Linked DNA regions of Mus musculus. The protein of the gene in region 1 purifies or fractionates together with the protein of each later gene. This does not show direct contact. Links are inferred from orthologs where the notes say so. Each region holds a gene or a part of one and is shown in the gene's direction. Other genes may lie near its edges.

Region 1 (4,683 bases):
AACTGACAGTATTAGAGACTTGTGTAACAAAAGGGCATTTTTGAAAGTTGATCCATATCTCCCCTGCCATTAGCAGGGGATTATTAAGGAAAGATAGTGACTCTTAGGACTCTTAGGACTGTAGCAGTTACATCACATACACACTCCATCTCAACTCCCCAAAATTCCATGGGTCAGCAGTACTGACTAGGAAGTAATGTAAATTGATGGTAACCAACACAAGAAGGTGTTGGAAATATCTGTATGCTGATAATGACACCTCATAATGGTATGACCTCTTTTTCTACTGAACTGATAGAAGATATTTGAAGGGTATGTTCACTGAGTGTGGTGGTGGACACCTCTATTCCCAGCCCTTGAGAGTTCCACTGCAGCCAGAACTGCATAGTGAGACCTTGTCTTTAAAGAAACAAACAAAAACTTGGGAAGGAGGCAGGTTATATTAATAAACGGTACGTGTCTTAGTTTTCACAGACTGTACAACTAATACACAAAGACCTGTATAACTAATGCCTAGTCAAAGAACAAGACAAAACAACATCTAGAACTCTTAGTGATCCTTCCACCCTCCTTACAGAGGAAACACTGTTCTGACCTTAACTTTAGGTAGCTTTTGCTCATTTCATTATTGTTTGCTAGAATGCTGGCGGAAAGGCAGGCTTGTAAGGAGTCACTCCATAAGCTATGGCTTGAGTTTGTTAAGCTGTCCCCCAGGAAGCTTCAGCCCTCTTCAGCAAATGTAGTTAACTCTCTGTCCGTCCATCCATCCGTCTCCTTTCATCGGAACTGGCACTGCCAGCATGTTTCCTGTTGCCTGGACCCTCCTGGATGGGTCCCTTAGTACTCTGTTTACCACTTGGCACGTAACGGTAGAACTAACTGAACTTATTCACAGAATGACAGTGCATTTAAGGACATTTTAATTTCAGTAAATACTGAAGCTGAAAGTGTTGAGATTATTGTAGGGAAAAGACATGGGCTAAACAAGGAGGGCAGATTCTTCCCTCTAACATCGCAAGGCCACATTCTAAAGTTCGTACACCAAACTCTGCTTTTCTTTATGGAATCCTTCTGTAGCCAAGCCCGTTCGTTGTTCGATGTCTTTCCTGTTCTTGTGATGTGTGAGTTACAGAGCCATTTTCTGGTCATCTTATGCTTTAAAAATCTTTGATAATTAAAGATAAGTAGAGAAACGTTTATGTTACAATTTCTAAAAGCTTCATATTCTTTCCCACAAGACTGTTACAATTTAACTTAAATGTAACTTCTCTTTTAAAAATCACAGATCATTGAATATGAGAAAAAACAAACCTTGGGACAGAATGATACTGGATTTAGTTGTGATGGGACTGCTAACACATTCAGGGTCATGTTCAAAGAACCTATAGAGATCCTGCCCAATGTCTGTTACACAGCGTGCGCAACACTCAAGGTAAGAGCCGCGCAGCCCCACAGGCTGTGCCTGCTATGCACTCAGGAGGCTCCTGGCTTCCATGTTTTAGAGTCACTAGCATGGGAGCCTCTTAGGGGAAGAGGAAGCCTGAGCTAAGATGCTCTGCTGCACTCAGTGCAGCCCAGGACTCGTCCATTCTGAGAGAAAAGGTCTTCCCAAGAACTTCCTTCCCCTTTGTTTAAAGAAAATAGAACTTCCACAGTTTGTTTTTCTTAAACCTTTTTCACAGTTGTTAATGGCTGAACTTCATATTGTTATTAAAATTGTTTTTAAGCAAACCCTCATATTTTGTTAGATGCCTGCATGAGATTTTATACTGAGTCTGTAATGAATAGGGCAGACCATTAGTCACCTCAGAACACAGGGATGCTTCTCAACTGACAGCCACTGACTTGTTTATTTTCATTTAGGGCCCAGATTCTCACTATGGCACAAAAGGACTGAAGAAAGTAGTGCATGAGACCCCTGCTGCAAGCAAGACTGTTTTCCTATTTTTCAGTTCCCCTGGCAATAACAATGGCACATCAATAGAAGATGGACAAATACCAGAAATAATATTTTATACATAATCTAGTGTTAACCATTCAGTCTAATCTCAAAAGCATAAACAACTGGCCACAAATAGTTTGAGTGTCTTGAGTATTTATAATTACAGATTAAGAAACATTTTAGTTTCTTAGAAGTAAAATAGTTAATTTAAATCTCTGCATGATTCGAAGCAAAGAGAACTGGATGTGTGTGTAAATTGCCGTCTTTTCTGCTTCGTCTTGTGTGATTTCGTAGATCCGCTGACTCGTGATCTTTCAGTAGTTTGGGAATTGAGAGATTCTTGTCATAATAGCAGATGTGGGTGTTTGATTTTTAAAACTTTTGTTTTAACTGTTTTGAAAGTTAGATGAGATGGGTGAGTATTCCTACAAAATTCTTTTTAACTCAAATAACTAATTTCAGAAAATTAAGAAAACTGACTTTATATTTGGGGTTTTCAAATATGTGGTCATTACCTTTTGGAATAATGCCTAGAAAACACTCAAGAAAAGTTTCAGTGCATTTACAGGGAAGGTATTCTGTAACAGTATAGAAGTGCATCACATAGCACTGTTTTACAGCTGGAAGTGGAGTTTGTATAAATTCACAATGTGATATAAACAGATCGAAGGGATTATCTGAGATGGATTCTTTATCACTCCCATCCCACTAAGCCAGTCATGGGTGCTGCAGTGATCCAGATGACTGAGATGTGACAGATGCCAACAGATGGCCACTGCAGCACTGCAATGCCCTTCACAGCAAGAAGGGGGTAGAATACCAAGATCCCTAACAGCTGCGCTGAACCATAAAGCTGTCCATGTCCAGCCAGTCACTCCTGCTGAAGAGGAAGAAGGCTTTGTGTCATCTACATAGTTCCACCCAAGAAGTAAAAATGCTACAGTAAGAGTGGATCAAAGGGATATTTGGCAGTGTGACATTTCTACATTTTTATATAAAGCAGATTTTTAAAATACAAGTAAGATAATATTTTCCCTTGAAAATGATTATCTTACAAAAAAACCCTTGTATAATTAAGCTTAAGGTCTATCAGTCTATCAGATAGTTGTGGGAAATTATTAAAAATAAGAATTCTTTTAAGTATCAACTTAAGAATTTTTCTAAATAGGATATAAAAGTTTTCATCAAAAGTAATATTTTGTATTTTCAAGATGGCAGGGAGGTGATGTGTTGGTGGCCAGGATCTCTTGAAGTTGTTGAAGAAAGGGAACTGTTTTCAGTCTGCTCTGGTACTATGATCTTATGGGTCTAAGCCTCAGTTAGCGGGAATGCCCATGGAATGTGTGATTCTGCTTAACTGAAGAGAAGTAAAGACTGTGTAGTAACCATTCCTTAACCAGTGTTGCATGCCAGAGGTAAGTTAGTGCTTTCTGACCATTGGGGCATTCGCATGCCTTGTGCTTTACTGAACAACTGTAACTGAATGTAGTCATGGAAGGAACAAGATACGGAACCACTCACTGACATTGGGACATCACCTGGAATTTTTAAAATAAATTTATCCTTTTTGTTTACCTATTTGTCACCTCTCTTTTTCTCTAAAACTTGAGATACTACTTTAGAACAAAAGTTCCAGCTAATTAAAGTTTAGCTTTTATGCACTTCTAATTTTAACTAATATTTAGAGAGTTGGGCAGGGGATAACTCAGCGGTATAGCAGTTGCCCAGTGTAGTGGTGTGAATGAAAATGCCCCTGTAGGCTCATGGGAGGGTAGCACTATTAGAAGTTGTGGCCTTTGCACATCATCATGCTTCCCACCATGATAATGGATTGAACCCCTGAACAGTAAGCAAACCCCAATTAAATGTTTCTTTTATAAGAGTTGCCTTGGTCATGGTGTCTCTTCACAGCAATAGACCACTGACTAAGACACCTAGCTGGAATTTCATTCCTAGTTTCAAAATGCCAGTCATTGCAGCCTGAGTAGTTACTGTGCACTGACTGGCCTTTGCTCTAAGTCTTTTGCAAAAATTCTTGCTTGCCACTGCATCATTGTGCATTGGTATTAAGGTACCCAAACAAAGAATTTAATAATTAGAAAGGTTACTACACGGTACTGGATACGATTTAAGTAATTTTTATGCCCCACACTATTGAGCAGGAAAAATGCTTTGTTAGAGTTGCCAAAACAGCCAGGCAGTTGTGGTGCACACCTTTAGTCCCAGCACTGGAGAGACAGAGATGGGTGGGTCTTTTGAGTTTGAGGCCAGCCCGGTCTACAGAACAAATTCCAGAAGAGCCAGGACTACACAGAGAGACCCAGTCTTAATAACAACAACAAAACAACATAGTATTACACAATTATATATCAAGACATAATTATATAATGACAATAACAAAACAACATGTTATATAGAATTATGCAATTATATATTTTCACTAACCTGTACCTACTATAGGATATCAATAATTTAAATAATTTAAAAAGTATTTTTTAAAAACACTCCTGATCTAGTATCTAGCCAACAATTTAAGATGTACTATTTGCACTTTCAAATGTATTTTAGGTGAACATGAAGTTTTAGGGACACACACTTTGAAAAGGAAGATGTTTACAGAACAGTAATGGAGACTATCAACAGCGCTTACTGCCCTCTTGGTCTGCTCTGCCTTCTTCAGCCTTCTGTCTCTGCTTTTGTCCTCACATTCAGAAGGCCAGAGAGAGAACCACGGCATTTAT
Region 2 (5,388 bases), on another chromosome or scaffold:
GCCCTGCCCCCACAACACCCCGGAGCTTCCCGGCTCCGCCCGGCAGGCTCGAACCCCCGCCCGGCTACAGCGACCCGGGCCGGCCTCCCGCGCCAGGGCGCCGACTCTTCGCACAGCCGTCCACACCCGCTACCCACCGACTTACTCCCAGCGAGAAGCCACGCTCCCAGCGGGCTCCACAGTCCGTGGTTCCGGCGACTCCGGCGCGGACCTAAAAACCGGTCGCCCGCTCAGGACTCCGCCTCCCAGGCCCAGCCCCCCGCCCGCCCTCCACCAACGGCCAGGCGCGGCCCCGCCCCTCGGGCTGCTGGCGGAGGCCGCGCGGCCGAGGGCGCCCCCTGCAGCCCCGGAGGCCACCCGGTGCACCCGCTGCTGCGCCCAGGGATTCCTGAAATGTGACCACTCCCAGGCTAAATCCCAGCCATCCAAGCCCAGGACGGTCTCCAGTCACGAAGTGTGGATGTGAGAGAAGGAATGTCCGCACCAGCAGTCTGGTCAACTCTCTGTCCTGGGCTTTCATTACCATTTCAACATGTTATTCTGTATGTTTCGAGTGGCTGTGTATTGTGACCACTGGAACAAGCTTACACAAGCTTCTCAGAAAGAACTTAAGATACTAATGTACTCTAATGTCCCTAGTGTGCCCGAAGTTATACTTTAAGAAGATTCTATTTTTATTTTTGGTTTCGTTATTTTGTCTCCAATAGTCCAGGGAGAAAGCGGGGTTGGAACTCTTGATTCTCCATTCTCCACCTCCCAAGTACTGGAATTAGAAGAATGTTGCAATGTCCTTGCTCTGTTTTGTTTGCCCAGCTCCTTGACTTTTTGAAACAGGGTCTCCTGCAGCCCAGGCAAAAGCACCTGCATTAGAAGAGGATACAGACGGGCAGTAGTGGTGCACGCCTTGAATCCCAGCACTCAAGCAGGCAGCTCTCGAGTTTGAGGCCAGCCTGGACTACATAGTTCCAGAACTGCAAAAACCCCGGGGTCCAGGTGAAGCAGCTACAGAGCCTTCGAATTCCTGTGAAGGAGCAGTTACTGACGAAGAGTTAAGGAAAGGCATCTCCGAGCTGTGCTTTTTAAAATCTGTGTGCTCTAAAGCAGAAATGTCAAGAAGTGCATTTCAAGCAATGCCTAACAACTAATATATTACTAAGCCAAGGAAAAAAGTTCTAATAGAATGAAAAACTGGGTTGGGGGAGCTAAAAGAAGATGATGAAGCTGGAGAAGTCTTTAAGAACCGTGTTACGAAAAAAATTAAATATATTAGAATTAAATAAAACACAAATTTCATGCATGCCTTCAACTTACAGTCTAGTGGGCAATTGGGGATGAGAATGTGAGGGAAGAAAACCTAAAAATACGACTGAAACAAATTTCACATTAACTGCTGGAAGGCACAGGTTGCGGAGATTAAATCTGCACTGAGACAAACCTTTTTTAAAAAGTAGCGCCTAAGGCATTCACCGCTCCTAACACTTGTATAAAATGTTACCCTATAAAGTCCCTAAAAAAGTTAATCTTAGCAACCGGTAACTTTTGCTTGCCACCTCGCAACAGTAGCGAAAACACAAAAGCGGAACGCCAACCACAAACCCCGGAGGCTTAACACACCGCAAATTATCTTAAAAGAGTCACGCGATCTTCCCCCTCCAAAACCAATAATCCGGAGATACTTACACCTCTGTTTCTCTAGAGATATTTAGTATTCCAAACAATTTATTTCGTTTGAAGCACCTACACTCACATAAACATAATTCCCCAAACTCAAGTTTCCTCCTACACACAATATGGTGGCATCTGAGTCTGCGCAGTACGAGCCGAGCCGGCCGACTCCTTCCTGGCAGGCCAATAGTCCCGCCTTCCGGCGCGAAAGGCTGTACCATTCCCACACCGAGGCTTTGCGTCCCTCGCAGTTCACACGAACGGATTTCCGAGCCAGCATGTTCTCGTTTCACCGGCAAGACTGATCTTAGCCGAGCCGAGCCGAGCCAACCCTAAGGAAGTGTTTTCTATGTCGCTGCGCCGCCGCCGCGCCCCAGCGCGCGAATGGTCTGGACCAACGTCACCTCCGGTCTCAAGTGTCATGGCTGCCTTGAGAGTCTAGTGAGTGTGCACCCTGGTGGGGAAGGTCCAAAGCCCGCACGCTGAGGCCCAGTAGAAGAAAGTTGCATCTTGATTGTGGAGCGACAGCTTCTCCGGTGCCTCGGCCATGGCAGCTTCCGGGAGTGGTATGGCCCAGAAAACCTGGGAATTGGCCAACAACATGCAGGAAGCGCAGAGTATCGATGAAATCTACAAATATGACAAAAAACAACAACAAGAAATCCTGGCGGCGAAACCCTGGACTAAGGAGTGAGGAGGTCCCTGGCGAGACGCAGGGGAGGGCAGGGATGGCGGGACTGTGAGAGACCCGCGAGGGGTGGGAGATGAAGGGTGTGGTGAGCTTGGCTTTCTGTGGGGCGTCGACCGAATATTGGCCACAGTGGCCTTAGTCTGCCTTGTCAGTAGAGCCTTACCTGTCCTCTAGGGCCTGCTTCGATTCCCCTTTTAGAAAGTTTCTTGCCTTCAGGGCGTGTAAAGGGCTGACTTGGGGTGCGACTTTTGTCAACATGATTATTTTTGTAAATCTCACACACTCTGCCTTGAACCTGGTGGCTACATGCAGTTAGTTGCAGCCTTCAGTAGATTCCCAAACTGAAGAGCGTGGCTGTTTTTATAAATCGAATGAGCAGAGCATTGATTTAAAAAAAAAAAAAAAATCCATGAGCTCTTGGATTGATTGGTTTGGTTTTTTTTCAGCTCTTTAGACACATACCAAATCCTCTTAGCAGTTCCCTACAATACTACTACAATTCATGTAAACCAGGAATTATAAGAGAGAGCTTAGAAGCATTTTCCCCAGCCAAATCCATGTATCTTTGGGATTGACGACAAGTCAAATGATTCTTTAGAGCAAATTGTATTAAGGAGAGTGAAGAAAAAAATTACAAAAGGTTGCTGAGTAGACTGTCTTGCTGTCTCCAGGTGTTTTGTTCTGATGGCACAGCTGGCTTTAACCGTCAGTACTCTGTTTTCAGTGTTTATTGAGTTCTTACTGTGGGCCTGGCACTGGCCTGAAGATTTTCGTGTCTTTTAATAATCTTGACAATCCAGGATTCTTTCCCTTTCTGTAAATAGAAAAATAAGCAAATACATTCAGAAACACACCTCATGGTCATACTATAGCAATGAGCTTAGGTTCAATAGACTGAAAATCAGGTCTCAATAACTGTCATTTAGACTGTTGACTGGCATTAGGAAACTAAAGTATCTAAACTTATCTATAAGATAAAGGTTAAACGTAGCTATTAATGATGTCATGAAGATGAGATAAGGTAATTTATTAAGAAGTTCTGGATGAGCCATATGTAATGAGAGCATAGTAATGGTTGTTTTTATCTTTTTCCCAAGTAGATGGAAAAGCCAGTTTTTTAATTTATATCTTGATTTCCAAGATGGTCTCAGTAACTTTGAGCTTGTGGTTGAAATCTAACAAAAGCTATATTTGGTTGCATGCATCCAGTGGGCCATGGCAACGCTGAGTGCCCCACACAGATTACTTAGCTGTTTCTAAAGCAAGCTGCGTGATTTAGGTGGATGTAAACTCAAGACTTCTTCACCATCTATGGCTATCCTAACATGTAGGGTATGTCAGGGATTTTAAACTGTTGTTCAAGAGTTTAATCACATACAATGGTTAGTCAAAGAAGTAAAGATACTAGATCACTCTCAAGATGCTATCAGAAGGAAGCCACAAGCTAACACACTTTTTTTGAGAATATCTTAAAACAGGTTAATAAGGCTGATAACAGTACCTTAGGTTTTAGTGTCTGTGGGACTAAGCACTTACTGTGTACTTTTCATACTAATAGGTGACATACCTATTTATAGATATGTGACATAGACATTAAGTGGCCCTACTCTCTCAGGTAGGGAGTGTCAGTGTAAGATTTTAGACCTAAGCAGGGCAATTTCAGAGGCAAACATTGTAGAAATTAAATCCTCTGGCTCTGTAGGTAATAATACTTGCTATCAAGCATGCAGACCTGAGTTCAAATCCCCAGCATCTATTGTAAAAATCCATGTGTGGATATGTGTGTGTGTAACCTTTTAGCATTGTATTGAAGGATGGCAGAGAAAAGGAAGTCTGTAAGCTGGTCAGTCAGCCAAAACAGTGAGCTTTCAGTAAGAGGCTCTCTCTGTCTCAAGGGGATGAAGTAATAAAATAGAGGAAAATGAGCTGGGCATGGTGACACCCACATTTAATCTCAGCAGAGGTGGGTGATCAAGTTCCAAGGTCAGCCTGGACTACTGGACAGCCAGGTTATACAGAAAAACGCAGTCTTAAAACAAAACAAAACAAAAGGTAGAGAAAGACCCCTGACAGTCCCTGTCATCTCCACATGCCATCTGGTGGCACACTAATAAACATGTACCACAGATAATAAATAAATAAATTACTTAATTAATAACTCAGTAAATTAAGGTCAGAAAGCTAGGCCTAAGAAGGTAATCAAGTATAATAATTCCATGATGATTGAGAAAAAAGGCCTGTGGACTTGATCATTACTCCCTCACCTCAGCAGTATATTAAAGTTTATCCCAGACTCTTTATTTTACCCAAGGGGCTGAGCTGTGACTGTGACATGTTATCTCCAGGTACCTCATACTTGCTGCTCTTATTCTACTCCCACGCACGGTCCATACTCCCCTTCCATCACTATCAATCCCTTCAGAACTTACTTATTTTCACAGAGACTATCTTCTGAAATTGTACATTAAATAAGAACCTTAATCACAGTGTAATTTTGTTTTATAGTCACCACTACTTTAAATACTGCAAAATCTCAGCATTGGCTCTACTGAAAATGGTGATGCATGCCAGGTCAGGAGGCAACTTGGAAGTGATGGGTTTGATGCTCGGGAAAGTCGACGGCGAGACCATGATCATCATGGACAGTTTCGCTTTGCCTGTAGAGGGCACAGAAACTCGAGTAAATGCTCAAGCTGCTGCGTATGAGTATATGGCTGCATACATAGAAAATGCCAAACAGGTAAAAATATTGTTTCTTAAATCTAAAAATCTCTATGAGTCTCAGGATGACTTCTGGGTTTCTGAACTTAAAACTGTCCTTTTCGCATTAAATTCCATATTTTAAATTAAACAGTTTTTATGTGAAATTTTAAAAGTCTTGTGAGATTTGTAATATTAGGTTGGGGGAGGGGATCCTTCCAAGATACGTTTTCATTTTCACTGTCAGTTGTGTTTAAAAAAAAAAATTACTGTAGGCTGGAGATGTGAGTTAGTGATGGAGTTGATGCTTGGCATTCCTAAGCCCTAAGTTC

The links. Proteins that work in one complex are often made in the same cells at the same time.
Region 2: the proteins of Btbd1 (region 1) and Cops5 purify together in Homo sapiens (affinity purification with mass spectrometry; 3 studies listed by BioGRID and IntAct, counting the BioPlex papers as one, with this or other methods). This does not show direct contact. The link is inferred for Mus musculus from reciprocal best matches to the Homo sapiens genes BTBD1 and COPS5.

Annotation. Positions count from the first base shown.
Region 1 is NC_000073.6:81,790,907-81,795,589, reverse strand, and holds the end of Btbd1 (BTB/POZ domain-containing protein 1), read left to right. Parts: intron 1-1,285; coding exon 1,286-1,432; intron 1,433-1,863; coding exon 1,864-2,022; 3' UTR 2,023-3,516; downstream 3,517-4,683.
Region 2 is NC_000067.6:10,034,637-10,040,024, reverse strand, and holds the start of Cops5 (COP9 signalosome complex subunit 5), read left to right. Parts: upstream 1-1,886; 5' UTR 1,887-2,014; coding exon of another isoform or gene 2,015-2,106; 5' UTR 2,107-2,212; coding exon 2,213-2,355; exon of another isoform or gene 2,356-2,363; intron 2,364-4,861; coding exon 4,862-5,096; intron 5,097-5,388. Other genes in the region: Cspp1 (centrosome and spindle pole associated protein 1), read right to left, coding at 1,681-1,886. UniProt on the Homo sapiens protein: Probable protease subunit of the COP9 signalosome complex (CSN), a complex involved in various cellular and developmental processes.